Saccharomyces cerevisiae S288C: one gene and its partners. The protein of the gene in region 1 binds, or shares a complex with, the protein of each later gene. Each region holds a gene or a part of one and is shown on either strand. Other genes may lie near its edges. A codon is read from its position in the direction of its gene.

Evidence for each region. Proteins that work in one complex are often made in the same cells at the same time.
Region 2: the proteins of SNF12 (region 1) and SWI3 are in contact, whole or in part, in a cryo-EM structure (PDB 7C4J), measured with the Saccharomyces cerevisiae proteins. Residues at the interface, in NP_014420.1 of Saccharomyces cerevisiae: Leu65 (codon at 1,921), Leu68 (codon at 1,930), Ile69 (codon at 1,933), Glu71 (codon at 1,939), Leu72 (codon at 1,942), Ser74 (codon at 1,948), Phe75 (codon at 1,951), Leu78 (codon at 1,960), Val79 (codon at 1,963), Glu82 (codon at 1,972), Leu85 (codon at 1,981), Asp86 (codon at 1,984), Phe88 (codon at 1,990), Ile89 (codon at 1,993), Arg92 (codon at 2,002), His95 (codon at 2,011), Met96 (codon at 2,014), Met99 (codon at 2,023), Trp103 (codon at 2,035), Gln110 (codon at 2,056), Glu111 (codon at 2,059), Phe112 (codon at 2,062), Tyr114 (codon at 2,068), Pro115 (codon at 2,071), His116 (codon at 2,074), Leu117 (codon at 2,077), Leu320 (codon at 2,686), Glu458 (codon at 3,100), Ile461 (codon at 3,109), Gly462 (codon at 3,112); in NP_012359.1 of Saccharomyces cerevisiae: Ser309 (codon at 2,054), Lys312 (codon at 2,045), Gly421 (codon at 1,718), Pro424 (codon at 1,709), Phe425 (codon at 1,706), Glu426 (codon at 1,703), Tyr428 (codon at 1,697), Ile661 (codon at 998), Leu664 (codon at 989), Gly665 (codon at 986), Ser668 (codon at 977), His669 (codon at 974), Phe671 (codon at 968), Ala672 (codon at 965), Glu675 (codon at 956), Glu676 (codon at 953), Gln678 (codon at 947), Met679 (codon at 944), Asn680 (codon at 941), Leu682 (codon at 935), Thr683 (codon at 932), Leu686 (codon at 923), Ile687 (codon at 920), Arg688 (codon at 917), Leu689 (codon at 914), Gln690 (codon at 911), Met691 (codon at 908), Glu692 (codon at 905), Lys693 (codon at 902), Leu694 (codon at 899).
Region 3: the proteins of SNF12 (region 1) and SWI1 are in contact, whole or in part, in a cryo-EM structure (PDB 7EGM), measured with the Saccharomyces cerevisiae proteins. Residues at the interface, in NP_014420.1 of Saccharomyces cerevisiae: Ser54 (codon at 1,888), Pro56 (codon at 1,894), Ser57 (codon at 1,897), Asp58 (codon at 1,900), Val60 (codon at 1,906), Pro62 (codon at 1,912), His64 (codon at 1,918), Lys83 (codon at 1,975), Arg84 (codon at 1,978), Asp86 (codon at 1,984), His87 (codon at 1,987), His90 (codon at 1,996), Leu91 (codon at 1,999), Leu94 (codon at 2,008), His95 (codon at 2,011), Arg98 (codon at 2,020), Gln102 (codon at 2,032), Arg105 (codon at 2,041), Ser106 (codon at 2,044), His326 (codon at 2,704), Ile329 (codon at 2,713), Phe330 (codon at 2,716), Tyr333 (codon at 2,725), Lys334 (codon at 2,728), His337 (codon at 2,737), Gln375 (codon at 2,851), Val376 (codon at 2,854), Leu403 (codon at 2,935), Leu407 (codon at 2,947), His495 (codon at 3,211); in NP_015309.1 of Saccharomyces cerevisiae: Tyr677 (codon at 2,417), Ile679 (codon at 2,411), Ile682 (codon at 2,402), Ser683 (codon at 2,399), Gly686 (codon at 2,390), Ile689 (codon at 2,381), Asp690 (codon at 2,378), Lys693 (codon at 2,369), Tyr770 (codon at 2,138), His771 (codon at 2,135), Arg772 (codon at 2,132), Asn773 (codon at 2,129), Leu885 (codon at 1,793), Leu888 (codon at 1,784), Lys889 (codon at 1,781), Lys892 (codon at 1,772), Asp893 (codon at 1,769), Asp896 (codon at 1,760), Pro898 (codon at 1,754), Phe899 (codon at 1,751), Thr900 (codon at 1,748), Asn903 (codon at 1,739), Arg905 (codon at 1,733), Ala907 (codon at 1,727), Glu908 (codon at 1,724), Asn1026 (codon at 1,370), Gln1031 (codon at 1,355), Trp1032 (codon at 1,352), Gln1120 (codon at 1,088), Leu1123 (codon at 1,079).

The regions. Positions count from the first base shown.
Region 1 is NC_001146.8:668,690-672,630, forward strand, and holds SNF12 (Snf12p), read left to right. Parts: upstream 1-1,728; coding exon 1,729-3,429; downstream 3,430-3,941. Other genes in the region: YNR021W (uncharacterized protein), read left to right, coding at 1-902; mitochondrial 54S ribosomal protein bL9m MRPL50, read right to left, coding at 1,085-1,504; MPP6 (Mpp6p), read left to right, coding at 3,720-3,941.
Region 2 is NC_001142.9:91,553-96,549, forward strand, and holds SWI3 (Swi3p), read right to left. Parts: upstream 2,979-4,997; coding exon 501-2,978; downstream 1-500. Other genes in the region: 60S ribosomal protein uL22 RPL17B, read left to right, coding at 1-105; KRE9 (Kre9p), read left to right, coding at 3,540-4,370; RFA3 (Rfa3p), read right to left, coding at 4,609-4,977. UniProt on the Saccharomyces cerevisiae protein: Involved in transcriptional activation. Component of the SWI/SNF complex, an ATP-dependent chromatin-remodeling complex, which is required for the positive and negative regulation of gene expression of a large number of genes.
Region 3 is NC_001148.4:519,137-525,458, reverse strand, and holds SWI1 (Swi1p), read right to left. Parts: upstream 4,446-6,322; coding exon 501-4,445; downstream 1-500. Other genes in the region: IRC15 (Irc15p), read left to right, coding at 5,226-6,322. UniProt on the Saccharomyces cerevisiae protein: Involved in transcriptional activation. Component of the SWI/SNF complex, an ATP-dependent chromatin remodeling complex, which is required for the positive and negative regulation of gene expression of a large number of genes.

The DNA of each region.
Region 1 (3,941 bases):
TGGAACACCAAAATACATGGTTCTCTTCTTTTGCTACCGGTAGATCCGCCATCAAGAGCATCAACCTAAACCTTCATCTGGTAGCCCGTAGCAACCCTTTCTCTATGTGTCTAGAGTACCTGCTTGGATTTTTTTTTGCAAGTTTGAAAAGTAAGCAATTGGAAGAATTTATGGAGATCGTGATCAGGCCAAATGGTATTTTAGTTACTAGTGAATCTGCTCATCCTAACAAGAATGCGCATGAAATTTTGACCAAATTTAGATTTGTCACTTCTATTGTTAACAAAGAATTCATGAATCAAGCTAGAACTGAAAACTATTTCCTGTCTATTGCACACACTAGTGAAAACGATAAACTACCAAATAACTTCGTCTACATGTCCGATGTTAATCAATTATCAGGGTTCATGTTTCATTACTCCAAGCCCTATGAGGTTTTGTCCCAAGCTGGTAATCTTTTGAAATATATAAGTTTCACCGATTTGCCTGTCAACCCGCCACGCGATGATAAAGAATGGGAATCTTCAATTGAACCAAAGGCTATCATTCGTTGCGCTGTTCCCCAAAATGAGAATGAATTGAAGTTGTTAAACCAAATTATTTCCTTAGTCGTAGAAATCTACGATGGGTTCACTCAAGATTTAGTCCAACAGTCTCCAAACTTATTCATTACCAACGACATCTTGAAAAGAACTACCAACTTGCGTCAGCAAGAACTGAACAAGATCAAAAAGTTTATGAAAGAAACTGAATTGGAATTGGCAAAGGAGAAGAAATTAGAATTGGAAAAAGCCAAAAGACGTCAATTGAAGGCCTCTGGTCAACAAGAAAAGGTAGATCAAAAAATGAAAGAGAAAAGAGAAAGACGTCTCAAAAACAAGCAAAGAACAAGATTTCAGTAAGAACCACTTTGTTCTTCTTTCCTCCTTATAATTTTCTGAACCTCTTCAGTTTTTGTATACGAACGTTTTCCATGTATCCATACATTTAAATAGTAAGTATGTAAATTGGTATGTGGTGTTTTGAATTGCGATGTTGCCTATATACAAGATTGTACGCTATCTGAATACATACTCTTTACCAATCAAATGTCAAGACCGGGGATCTTAACCTCTTCGATAGTAATCCCAGAATCCAATAATCCCTTCTTTTCCTCTTTTGGCTTCTCTTCTTTCTTGTGGCCAAAAACAGATTCTTTACGTAACTCCATGTTCTTTTGAACTTCCGTTTCATGGCGTTTAGAGAGCTGTTGATGGTCTTCCTCTAGCTTTGCCTCAAGTGTTTGGTATTGTTTTAACAGTTCCGTATTTATGTCGTGTTCTTCGCTGAGTATGTATTTTGCACCATTGAAGTTATGTAAATAGTTTCTCATTAAAGATGGTTTGACATTTGCAACTTGTCCTTTATATAATTGAAATCGCGGGAAATCCTTCAGGACTTGAACCTTGACCCTGTGGGTTCTCTTTGTCAGAGCGCTCAGACACACCTGGGTGCAATGTAGCATCTTTGGTCGACCTGTTTCGTTCGTTATTTAGTTAGCCTTTTATATTCCTTACGGTATAACGTAACTTAACTGCCCTTTGAGTTTGCTTTTTCATCGGAAAGAACAAATGAACTAAAAACTTGCAATAATAAACAAAAAAAATACAAAATAACGTGGATGTATTAAACCAAAAACAAAATAAGACAACTCTAAAGCTGTCAAACAGAGATCTAACGGATTGAACCATGTCCAAAGTAATGAAACCCAGCAACGGAAAAGGTTCTAGAAAGAGTTCAAAAGCAGCCACACCTGATACTAAAAATTTCTTTCATGCAAAGAAAAAGGATCCGGTGAACCAAGATAAAGCAAATAATGCTTCTCAAATTACGCCAACAGTGCCACATTCTCATCCATCAGATATGGTTATCCCTGACCATTTAGCCGAATTGATTCCTGAGCTGTATTCTTTCCAACAACTGGTGGATTCCGAGAAAAGATTAGATCATTTTATTCATCTGCGAAACTTACATATGAAGCGAATGGTTGCGCAGTGGGAGAGGTCAAAGCTATCCCAAGAGTTTCTTTATCCTCATTTAAATTTTCCAAATGTAAAATTTCTCCGAATCTTCATTTCAAATGTTAGTGAAAACCAACCCTGGCAAATGGACACAAACAATGAGGCTGACCTTATGGCACTGGAGAATGCCACTTGGACGATGAGAATCGAAGGTCGATTATTGGACAATGTGCAAGCTAATGATCCAGCAAGAGAAAAATTTAGCTCATTCATAGAATCGATAGTGGTAGACTTCAAAAATAAGGAAAACGATAATGTGCCATCGACTAAATTTAATGCGGCCCCTGAAGAAAATGCCACCGAAGGACCCAGTGATAAGAAATTGAACTTAAACTTACCGTTACAATTTTCACTGCCGAATGGTGACAACTCTACTACGACTAATACCGACCAAAATAATGCCACGATGGGGGAGGAGACTGCCAAAAAGGATATGAGTTCTACAACTCCAAAACTAGAATCAGTGAAATGGCAGTATGACCCGAATAATCCTGTAGACTTCGATGGTCTCGATATTAAGAGGGTAGGGTCTGAAAATGTAGAATGCACTATAAGCATCCTGCGAAAATCATCCCCAGAAGAGCCATTTATGAGCTACTCTCCACAACTAACCGCAATAATAGGATTGAAGAGCGGTACATCACATGATGCAATATTTTCCATATATAAATACATCCATTTAAATGAATTGCTTACCAATGATGAGTCTGCATTCGAAAATTTGATGGGCAACAGGAACAATCACAATAGCAACACCAGTACTAGTAAGATGCTTGATGCAGCCTCCAGTCAAGTTTCTATTGTAAAATTAGACACTCAGCTTATTACCTTATTACCCAGCAGTCTTAAAGAATCTTCTCCAGATACAATGAAATTAACGGATTTACTGTCCCTTATTAATAGTACTCACCTGCTCCCATTACAGCCAATTGAAATTGATTACACAGTACGCGTTGATAAAGCTTCCACTTATGGTGAGTTGGTTCTTGATATTGAAGTACCTGATGTCAACGCTCTAAAATTCAATAATACACAAAGAGAAAGTCAAATTGGGGCTGCTGAATTGAATGAAAATGCCAGGGAATTGGAACAAATCAAACCCAAGATAGCTTTACAGGACAAAGAAATAACGTCCGTTCTCTCGAATCTACACGAGAGCAACAAACGATACCGTTTCTTCAAGAAAATTAGTGAGGACCCAGTTAAAGCATTAAATGAATGCATTGCTTCTACCTCGAATGCTTTGAAAGTTTTATCGGGAGATGAGGGCTATAATGAAGATATGGTAAGGCGGGCTAACTTTTACAAGGAAAATGAAGCTATGTTGCGCGAGAATATAGAAGTCATATTATCAAATGGACGAATGTAGGCTTCTTTACATTGATACACAATAGACTGAAGATTTATGTAGTTTTCTTTGTATATAAACTCTAGATAGGAAAAGAAAGGTCACCATTCATTTATAATAATTAAAGACGAACAGACAATGCTGATTTGTTTATAGCGCCTACAAGTAATGGCGGCTGTCTGATTCCATTGTCTCTTTCTAAGAAAAGCGCTGAAAATTTTCTACTGGAAATTTCAGAATATGAAAAAGTAGTAGAGATGAGGGCCACTTAAACACAATAAGCATATAAGGAACCAAGGGAAAAGCAACAAATGAGTGCTAACAATGGTGTCACTGGCAAACTCTCTAGTAGAGTCATGAATATGAAGTTTATGAAATTTGGTAAGACGGATGACGAAGAGAGTTCCAACTCCAATACGCCGTCTAATATCAACTCAGATGTGGAACCTATAGAGCAGAAAGGTAAACTCTTTGGTCTGGATGACTCAGCGTGGGACCTCAATAGCTACAAAGATGATTTAAAAAAAATTTCA
Region 2 (4,997 bases), on another chromosome or scaffold:
ACCGAAAAGGAAGAAGCTGTCGCCAAGGCTGCTGAAAAGAAGGTTGTCAGATTGACTTCTAGACAAAGAGGTAGAATTGCTGCCCAAAAACGTATCTCTGCTTAAATGCTTTTTTAATTTTAAAATCTTTTAAAGTGAATATTTGATTTATATACTACTATATACTAATTTGTTTAGGCCAATACACAGAATCAAAATCAAACTAAGAACAACACAGAACAAGAAAAATAACTTTTGATAAAGGCTCTTTTAAATAAAAAAAATAGAAAAAATAGAAAATAACACAATTATAGATATATATCTACATGTACATAACATGTCTAGTCGAATCTAGAGAAATGGGATAAAAATCAGAGAGAAGCCAAGTCAAGTGACGCACCATTAAAGAAATGAACCTAGAAGAAAGAAAATAAGCAAAAATATAGAGCGAAACAAAATAGAAAGTGTTACTAATGAAGAATAATTACAACAAAAACAAAAATGATCTCCATGTGTCATTGTTATGCCGACCAATACCTGTAAAATTGAGGTGCTTCAATAGAAATGGGTTTGACATCATTCTCGTTAGATATACTTTGGCCATTATGGTTTTCACCTGTTTCAATATTAGGTTTGTTAAATGGATTCTTTCCAATACTTAAAGTTTCAGGTTTCGATAGCATACTTTTGAAATGGTCTATCTGCGACCTGATTTCCTCCTTCTCCGCCACTGAACTATTATTGATATTGCTGTCGGATATTAAATTCAAGCATTTGCTTAAAACGTTTACAATCTTGCTGGAGTTTTGGTTGAAGTTCAATCTCTGAATTAGTAAGTTTTCCTGTTGTCTTTCTAGGGTTTTCCTTTCTAGCTCCATAAATTTTTCTAGTTTCTTTAAATGATTTAATTTAGCGTCCAATTTTTCCATTTGAAGTCTTATTAGCTCGTTAGTCAAAAAATTCATTTGCCTTTCCTCGTTGGTAGCGAAAATATGACTCCTATAACCCAATGATGATATGGCAATTTCTGAACCTTCTTTAATATGTTCAATTGGCTTTTGGTCAGAGATTTCCTCTTTTTGTGATTTTATTGATTCTGCGGACTGAATGGCTCTCTGGGTCATCGACTGTACAGTCTTCGGATTGACCAAACCCACCAAGAATGCTATTGTTGATAAAACGGGGTTTTCGCTCTTCGAAAATGGCAAGTGAGGAGCATATTTCAAAGGTCCTAACCCGTTGTCATTATCACCCTTGCCATTGCCGTCACCGTATAAAAATTTATCTTCAATGGGCAATTGAAGGAAACGTAAGATACACTGTTCAGGCGACTTATTGCCAACGTTTTTGGCCACTTTGTACCAGTCAGCGCCGAATTCTTGTATTCCCTTTAATAGCTTTTGCAAATCTTCTTTTGACCAATTTTCATCAATTTGTTCTAGAATTTTGACTTTTTTCAGAGGACGTGAAGTTTCGCCTTCTTCCAATAGATTGGCATCACCAGTCATGCTTGTTGACGTACTTACTTCATTGTTCATTTTACCACCATTATCATTTTTGTCACCATTTTCATCATCAGTGGTACTGGGGGGGTGAGTTATTTCATCATATTTTCTTTTGCTTTCTTTCAAATATTTATATAAAGTACTCTCCGAATCACTAGTGTTCATCATTTTTTTAAGCTTTGCCATATCCGGCAGTTGTACAGATGGTTTGTAACTTTCGAATGGGAATAGTCCTCTGGGGGCATCATGCCTTGTGGAATATTGAGACGTTAGTGGGGGTTCGATGTTCTTAGGTAATAGTTTGGAGTCAACCTGATAGTTTATTAGCCCCCATTTTGTTAAGAATTTATGCAATCTGAATAATGCAGCAGCATCACCAGAGACGTTTCTCCTCGCCGTAGTGACACTGAAATATTCGTTGGGGTTCAGCCTGTAAGAATTTACCATGAAGTTTCTGTATCTCATGTAAACTTCAGGTGTCTTTGATGGAATCCTATTGGTGAAAAATTCAGGTAACGATTGAACTTCAATGGAATGAATTTTTTCTAGATTGAACCATTTAGAATAACTTGGAATAACAATTTCATGTGCTTGCGGTATCTCAAAAGTTTCGGGTTCTACTCTGGTGATAGTGGTTTTCTTTGGATTGGCACTTTTGGAGTGATCGTTCATGATTTCACGTTCCTGTTCGTTTCTCTCTTCGCCACTATCTACCTTCTTATCTACACTTTCCGTCTTTTCTATGATATCCTCCTGTTCAGCTTTATGCGCATCTGGAATTTCAGATGGAGTATTAGCAACCGACGAAGTGTTGCCTAGTTGTTTAGACTCACTCTTTGTGTCTCCAAAAATGGAATTATCAGGACTAATCATCGGTTGATCGTCATCCTCATCATCTTCTTCCACTTCATCCATTTCCTTTGTGTTCTCATCTGGCTGACTTTCTTCTTTGACACCTTCAATAACAGTGTTATTCTCTGGTTCTTCCTCTTTTTGTATTTTGACGTCCTCCATGTTTTTAACGTCACCATTTGAATCCTGTATTGTGCTGTCTTCCTTAATAGCAGGCTTATTGTTTTCATTGTCTACCGGGTTCGTAGGTATACTAGGAGTGTTTGCCTCATTGTTCGAAACAGAACTCTCGGTTTCGCCAAAGAGATTATCACTATCCTCATTATCTTGGCCAAAGACGTTCTGGGCCCTGCTTTCTTCTGTAGAAGGTGTTTCCTGGGAATCTAGCTTATTCGCTTGCATAGTCGGCTGCTGCTTTGCCGTTACCGTTATCGCCTCACTTTCTGCATCGCGTGTGTTCGGAACAGTTGCTTCATCCTTCAGAGACTCATCTTGTTGCTGCGATTCTTCACCAGCAGTATCTGTATTGGCAACCCCTGCCACAGCTGCATTAGCGTTGCTATCACTATTGTTGTCATTGCCATGTTGGTCCACGTCCACGGAAGCGTTTACCGTGGACCCCTCACCCAGTGTATTCTCCATGCTTGCAAACCGTATCACAATTGGTCTCTGAACGCGCCTCGATGTACCAATATATCGCGCCTTGCATGGCCTTTACACATTCCTCTTGCGTATCTGATATAGTTTGTTTTCGTCTTTTCGCCAATGGCCTAAACGCCAAACGTCCGGCCTCGTTATTCGTGATGCCTACTTAATGGCTCTTAAATCGAATTTAAACTAGCTCAAAAGTAATCAATTCAAACTAAAATAACATCATTGGCCATCCTGAATTGTTGGATGCCATCTAAACTGCGTATTGACCATTATTCCATCGTAACCACGGCGGTTCAATATAATATCACTTTTGACGATTAGGTGTTTTATTTACATTTCTTTTTTTTTTTCCTCGAAAAAGATCTTCAAGGATAATACAGGAATAGAACAGGAGTCTCAAAGCATTCTTGAAGCCAGATTTGCTCCAGTTTGATAGTTCCAAGAAGCGCTAAAAGTGGCAGTTCACACTTTGTTTTGATTACTAGGAATCTACTCTTTCGCTTTTTACTTCCTTCTCAGAGAATCAGCAACTGTGACATATTATAGATAATGCGTTTACAAAGAAATTCCATCATATGTGCTTTGGTGTTTTTAGTCTCATTTGTGCTGGGAGATGTGAATATTGTTTCCCCCAGCTCCAAGGCAACATTCAGTCCAAGTGGTGGTACTGTCTCTGTTCCCGTTGAATGGATGGATAATGGGGCATATCCCTCGTTAAGCAAGATTTCAACTTTCACGTTCAGTCTTTGTACTGGTCCTAATAACAACATTGACTGTGTGGCCGTACTTGCCAGTAAAATTACTCCAAGTGAGCTAACACAAGATGATAAAGTTTACTCTTACACAGCTGAGTTTGCTTCGACCTTAACTGGGAACGGTCAATATTACATTCAAGTTTTTGCCCAGGTGGACGGTCAAGGTTACACTATCCATTATACACCAAGATTCCAGTTGACTTCCATGGGCGGTGTTACGGCTTATACATATAGTGCCACAACTGAACCTACTCCCCAGACTTCTATTCAAACAACCACTACAAACAACGCCCAAGCCACTACTATTGACAGTCGTTCATTTACTGTTCCGTACACCAAGCAGACTGGTACGTCGCGTTTCGCTCCAATGCAAATGCAGCCAAATACTAAAGTGACCGCTACCACATGGACAAGGAAATTTGCCACTAGTGCTGTGACATATTACTCTACCTTTGGGTCATTGCCAGAGCAAGCAACTACGATAACTCCTGGCTGGTCTTATACGATATCATCGGGAGTAAACTACGCTACTCCTGCATCTATGCCTTCAGATAATGGTGGTTGGTACAAACCATCCAAGAGATTGTCTTTGTCTGCAAGGAAAATCAACATGAGAAAAGTATGAAAAATAGACGGCTTCTACTATCATCATTACAGTAAGGGTTGAAGTCAGGAAAGGTTAAAAATAAAATAAATATCAAAAAGTTTTTAGCGGAAGGCGTTAAGGCAGCAAGTACACATTCATTTATCTATCTATACATCTATAAACACAACTACAATTTTTTTAGAAATGGAATTTATTATATGAAGGGAAGACATATAGAGGCAACAGTACATAAAGGTAAGAATAAAAGCGATTTTAGCTAGTATATTTCTGGGTATTTCTTACATAGTCTCTGTAAAGCAACCACACCGTTTAAGCTTAAATCTTCGTTCTCCTTGAATTTGCATAGTACAGCGTCTAGAATCAAAAATCCTAGCTCGCCGTCATCATTGTTCCTGCAAACAAACTCATACCACGAGTCGATCTCAAATGTTTTATTCATAGATACACGAATATTGTTCAACGTAATCATTTCAACCTCGCTGCCGTTTTTCGATGATATGGTTGGCGATTGTAAAATCAACTGAGATTCAGTGGGTTGTGATTTGATTTGCGCTATTATCCTAAACACAGGAGCATTGACGTTGGAGATTTCTGTGGGGTCAACTCTTGGTGTTTCGCTGGCCATTTTTACTTGTGTTACTGGTA
Region 3 (6,322 bases), on another chromosome or scaffold:
ATCTTGACTTTGTGGGCAGCTTGAAATTTTCTTGGATGATTCTGTCCTATTTGAGCTTTACCTCCTCCCATCGAAAGGGCGAAGTCACACCGTTTTCAAAGGTGGAGTGTTACCCCACCCCCCACGCTGACTCCACATCTGACTCTCTACCGTTTTATTATAGCGAACGTTAACTCTGAATGTATGTGTGGTGTGTATGAATTGTATTTACTGCCTGAAATGGAGTCATAAACTCCTTTATACAATTTCAAGGAATTTTTGTAGCCGCGACGGGACCAGTGGGAAGTTACTAAAACCATTGTTTAGTTGAGCCGCCCAAGATGTGACTTCATGGCAGCTATACGTTCATTTGGGCTTTTGGCACTAAAGGCGCTCTTCCGACTGTATTGTTTCCATAAGGTCTATTATATTAGTTACAACATTTTATATAGGTTTATAAAAAGAAAATAGTGCGCAAGGAAGAAATAAGCAGTAAAAGAATATTGTTTAAAAAAATCGCATCATTCCAAATTGGTTAGGATATCATTTTTTAAATTGTAAAGTAATTGATACTGGTTTATTATTTGAATATCAACTGATGGATTAGTGAATAACTGGAAAATTTCTAAATCCGTGGGGAACAAATTTGGAATCGATGCTATTTTTTTTAATATTTCCGGGTCGTTGTTTAGGCAGTTTTCAAAACAAATACTTTTTTCAACCAAACATTTGATTAACTGAACACAGGATATGTTAATTGACGGTAGGAGCACCTTTGAATAATTTTGTTGCTGTAACAAAGTATTCTTACTTGTGGAATTGTTAATATTCAATATTATCTCACTTAACTTCAATAGTCCAGATCCAATATTTTCTTCAGAGCTCAACCACACAAATGGTAAATTCTTGTTGAAATTGAAGCTAGAATCTTTGTTGCCGTTATTGTTACTGTTACTGTCTGAATTATTCTCACTGATTTCAAATACTTCATTGGATAACGGCAATATTTTTTGTACAATGACTAAGATGCTAGTTAGACTCTGAGAAATTACCGGAGAAAATTGGTCGATCAGCAAACTTGGATCAGCTGATTGCGATAACACTTGCTGCAGCGGTATGGCAGAAAATAAAAACGAAACCACATCATTTAGCAAGTTGTGCCTATTGTTATTATTTTTATTGTTATCATTGTATAAATTCAAAAGTCTTCGTAACAACTTTTTGTCCTTGTGGTTGTTGTTACTGTTGCGATCATAGAGGTTGTTACCTGTGTTTTTGTTCAGAAGGATTGATTTGAAATAATTTAGGTTCGGTTTTTCCAATGAAAATAATTTGGCCAAAATATCTACACCGAAAGTTTGATATTTTCCCCATTGCAACTGGAATTCGTTGAAGGTCAAAGATTCAGAGCCAAATGATGACGAAGACGCCATTGGATTGAGTTTTGGTTGACCAAAACTTATGACTAGAATAAGAATTAACAAGCAATCAATGGACGAAGCGATCTCTAATAAATGAGAAATATTTGATAAAACAATAACCAAATCCTTCTTGAAATTTAGTATTTTCCTATTGCATGTAAAGTTTTCTGGATGGATTAAGACTAACCAAAGTAGATCAGATATAAATCTCTTTAGGTAAAAATTTCTCGACATGATTCTGGAGTTGTTATCGGAGAATGAAATATTCCTCAAAATCATCGAGATGGTAGACAGTTGATCGTTAATCAGAACTTTGGGATCCTCTGCCCCTCTGGTATTTATTTTTGTAAATGGATCATCAATTTCATCCTTGATTTTTTTCAAAGAAGTCAAATAAGGAGTTCTGTGAATTTTCAAAGGAAATTGGTTAGGGAGGAATCTTATTGGTTCAGGCAATAAGTCCCACTGTTTAACTGCGGGAGATGTCGACTGCATACTTATAAAACATTCAGTGTCGAGATCAGGCTCCATTTCAGTAGGAGTAGGGGTGGGCAATTGATTACCTGTTAAAGAATCTACCAGGATAGTGACTTTTTCATCGTTAGAATCATTCGGTGTAAGTGTAGCGTTGTTGTTTACCTTTTCAAAAATTTTATCAACCATTTTATCGTGTTGGGTAACATAGTATTGATTTGATCCAGCATCCTCATAATAATAGTCAGAAGTGTTTCGATGGTATGGAACAACATTTTGTGACAAATTTGACAGTAAATTCATGCCGAGTATTGCCAAGGAGTCTAATAATTCAGGGTATTTGACCAGAGATATTTTTAAGTTCGAGTCAGCGCTTGTGACCAACAAGGTGTTCAAGGCGGTGTTTATTTCTCCAAGATTCTTCGATTGGAGGGACATTGATAAAGCATGTAAATTAATTGCACCTAACTCTGGCGCGAAGAGAAAAATTGGCTTGTTGGAATCTATTTTCTCTCCTATTTTAGAGATGTAATTGATATCGTAACCATTGTAATGCTTGAGGCGGTTGATTAGGGGTTTGTAGTTCCTAACAATTGATCTCTTGTAGACTTTAGGCAATTTTTTTAGTTCGATTTCATATTGTTGACGTAATTTTGTCTCTAATAGCAATTTCTGTTGCCTTTGTTGATCCTCTAAAAGTTTTTGTTGTCGTTTCTGAAAATCCTCCCTTTCTTTACGTTCTAGTTCCAATTCCTTTTTGGTCTTTTTTTTCACTCTTTGCTTTCTTGGCTTCTTAACTTGCTGTTGGCCAATATTGTTATTATTTACGTTGATATTAATATTGCTATTCAAGCTTTTTGGAGTGTTTGCTGAAACCGGAACGATCCCTGCTTCTGTTCCTGGTGCTGCTGTAGCAGGAACGGACGCGCCAGGAGCCGCGGGGGTTGGTGCTGACGATGCACTATTAATGTTATTGTTGGCATTGGCCAATGCAGCGGCCTGCTGCTGTTGTTGAACTTTCTTCAATAGTTCTTGTAAGAACTGTTGCAAGAATATTCTTTTCGCTTGAGTTTCCTTTATACCTTCTTGGGAAATCATGTGTCTTTCGTAAGGTAATAAAATTCTAAAATAGATTGATTCTAATTGTTGGTAATCGGAAATTTGCAGCCTTTGGGCCACCATAGACCACTGTTGGGTCCTTGTTACTTGATCTGCACCACCGAATTTTTGAACCAACATATAAAGATAAAAAAGATTTATTTTTCTGTTGCCGATTTCTGGTATTGATTGTAACGGCATATTTCTTTTTTTACAGTTTTCAATCAAAGATTTCATAAAAAGTTCATATTGTTTGTTATTCAATTCAGTAGATATTTTCTCTTGTAATGCCGGGTTCAGACTTTGTAAAATAGATCTTTGTTGTTGCTGCCGTTGACTCTGCAAAAATTTGGGATTCTGTTGTTGCTGTTGTTGCTGTTGTGGTTGTTGATTTTGCTGTTGTTGATTTTGTTGCTGCTGCTGCTGCTGCTGTAGAGCCTGAAAACGTTGCTGCTGCTTTTGCTGCAAAGCGGCAAACATTGCAGCTCTTTCAGAGAACACTGTATTTGCGTTTGAAGTTGAATTATTGGTATTAGCGGGAGTTGCAGCAGGCACGGCAGTGACATTATTGTTATTGCTCGTTTTATTATTGCTGTTATTACGCATATTATGGTTATTACTGTTGTTGTTGTTGTCACTTGTGTTCGGAACAAATTCATTGCTTGCAGAGGATGATCTGTCCATTGAATTTGAAGCAGCGTAATTAGAAATAAGCTGGTTAGACGTCAAATTACCATTATTGGAAGCACTGTTATTGAATGGCAAAAATTGTTGATTTGCATTCGGAGTAGAGTTAGAGTTTGTGTTCGGAGTAGAAGATGAGGAATTTTGACTGATGGATTGAACATTGGTGATAAAATGGGGTGTTATTACATTATCGTTCGCAATTCCGGTGCTATTATTATTATTGTTACCGCCATATAGCTGTTGTTGAGCTTGAAGAGGTAAATTGGAAGAATCAATGATTGAATTCTTGGCTAAAATAGCCTGAGGAGACAGGCTGTTTAAATTTGTGTTGGAATTGTTTGAGTCATATGGAGAATTGAATTGGGGAGACTGGTTCTGAATGAAATTAGCAGCTTTTCCACCGGTAACATTAGCAGGAGCGGCATTATTAACGACTGCTGTTGGAGAAGTAAAGTTCGTGCTGGAGGCTACCGTGTTACTGTTATTGTTATCATTGTTATTACTATTACTGTTGTTATTGTTGGAATCCAAATTCTGGTCAAAAGGTTTTGGGTCGAAAAAATTCTGAAAATCGTCTACACCACTGGCTCCGGTATTCGTATTGTTGTTATTAGTATTGTTATTAGTATTACTACTATGGCCTGTGCTATTGTTGTTATTGGTATTATTAGCAGGATTATTATTATTATTAGTATTATTATTATTAGTATTATTGTTATTGGTAGTAGTAGTAGTAGTAGTAGTATTATTATTATTATTATTATTATTCAAATTAAAGAAATCCATCTTTATTTATTACTATTTTTATTATTACTATTTTTATTATTATTATTATTATTATTATTATAAGACACGAAAAGAAAGAAAATAGAGATAGAAAAAGAAAATTTTAAGAATAATGAGTGTAATAGGAAAATAGCCGCCAGTCAGTGATTATTACCTGGTGAACAATAATCTGCAATCCGTGAGAGGAAACAACGCGAAATGCCAAAGCAGAGATGGTGTAATAAGGATAGAGCCACACAACAATACTTTCTAGAAAAATAAATAATAAAAAAATAAGGTAAACAAAGTGTAATCAGTTGCCTTGCCGTATAGTGTTTTGCGGTATAAATATTGTTATTCAATACGAATGATGAATACCGGAAGGTGGTTATGACTAAAACGCAATGTGAATATGATTACAACTGGCAACAACCACAACAGAAACAACAATAATGCATAGTGGTAATAATACGTAAAGTCAATCAGCGTTCAGTTTTAAAAAAAATCTTTTCTCGGTGCTTTGGGGAAGGAGGGGTGGCGTCGTTTCGTAATCGGAGATACCCAAAGTTCATATCACGATAAACGTCAGTTCCGGGTTAGAATAAATTTATGCGGTAGTTTCTGTGCGAACTTGAGTGCGGTGGCATTTTCCTCCGGCGAGGCCTGGGTGGAACACTCAGGCAGGGGGTACACCCAGACCTGCAGGCATGCATCTGCTGTTTCGGCGGCTATTTAACATGCGCACGATTTTACGAGAGGAGAAGAGAAGTATGATATAATTAACGGTGAGCATTTTTGGTAATGGGAGGTGAAGACGAAATATTAAGCACGATGGAGGATTTTGCGGCAGTTTACGATGTCCTGGTAATTGGTTGCGGGCCTGGTGGCTTTACTGCAGCGATGCAGGCTTCGCAAGCAGGCCTGCTCACAGCATGTGTTGACCAGCGTGCCTCGCTGGGGGGCGCCTACCTTGTAGACGGGGCAGTCCCGTCCAAGACCTTGTTATATGAGTCTTATCTTTATCGGCTGCTACAACAGCAAGAACTTATCGAGCAACGTGGCACGCGGCTGTTTCCTGCAAAATTCGATATGCAGGCGGCCCAGAGTGCACTCAAACATAATATAGAAGAGTTGGGCAATGTGTATAAACGTGAGCTATCTAAAAATAATGTTACTGTGTATAAAGGCACGGCTGCTTTCAAAGATCCTCACCACGTTGAGATTGCGCAGCGCGGCATGAAACCGTTCATCGTAGAGGCGAAATATATTGTTGTGGCGACCGGATCTGCGGTTATTCAGTGTCCTGGTGTTGCAATAGATAATGACAAGATAATTTCATCTGATAAGGCATTGTCACTGGATTATATACCTTCACGTTTTACTATCATGGGAGGAGGTACAATTGGACTAGAAATCGCATGCATATTCAATAATTTGGGCTCTCGGGTTACTATCGTTGAATCTCAAAGCGAGATCTGTCAAAATATGGACAATGAGTTGGCTTCTGCCACGAAGACCCTCTTGCAGTGTCAGGGTATAGCTTTTCTTTTAGACACTAGAGTGCAGCTCGCGGAAGCCGATGCTGCCGGTCAGCTGAACATCACCTTGCTTAACAAGGTGTCAAAGAAAACATATGTACATCATTGCGACGTCTTGATGGTTTCTATTGGTAGACGTCCCCTGCTAAAAGGTTTAGATATTTCCAGCATTGGTCTAGACGAACGGGATTTTGTAGAAAATGTTGACGTACAAACCCAAAGTCTGCTAAAGTACCCTCATATTAAACCCATAGGAGACGTTACATTGGGCCCCATGCTGGCGCTGAAAGCGGAAGAACAAGCTATAAGGGCCATTCAATCAATAGGCTGTACAGGCTCCGACGGAACCTCGAATTGTGG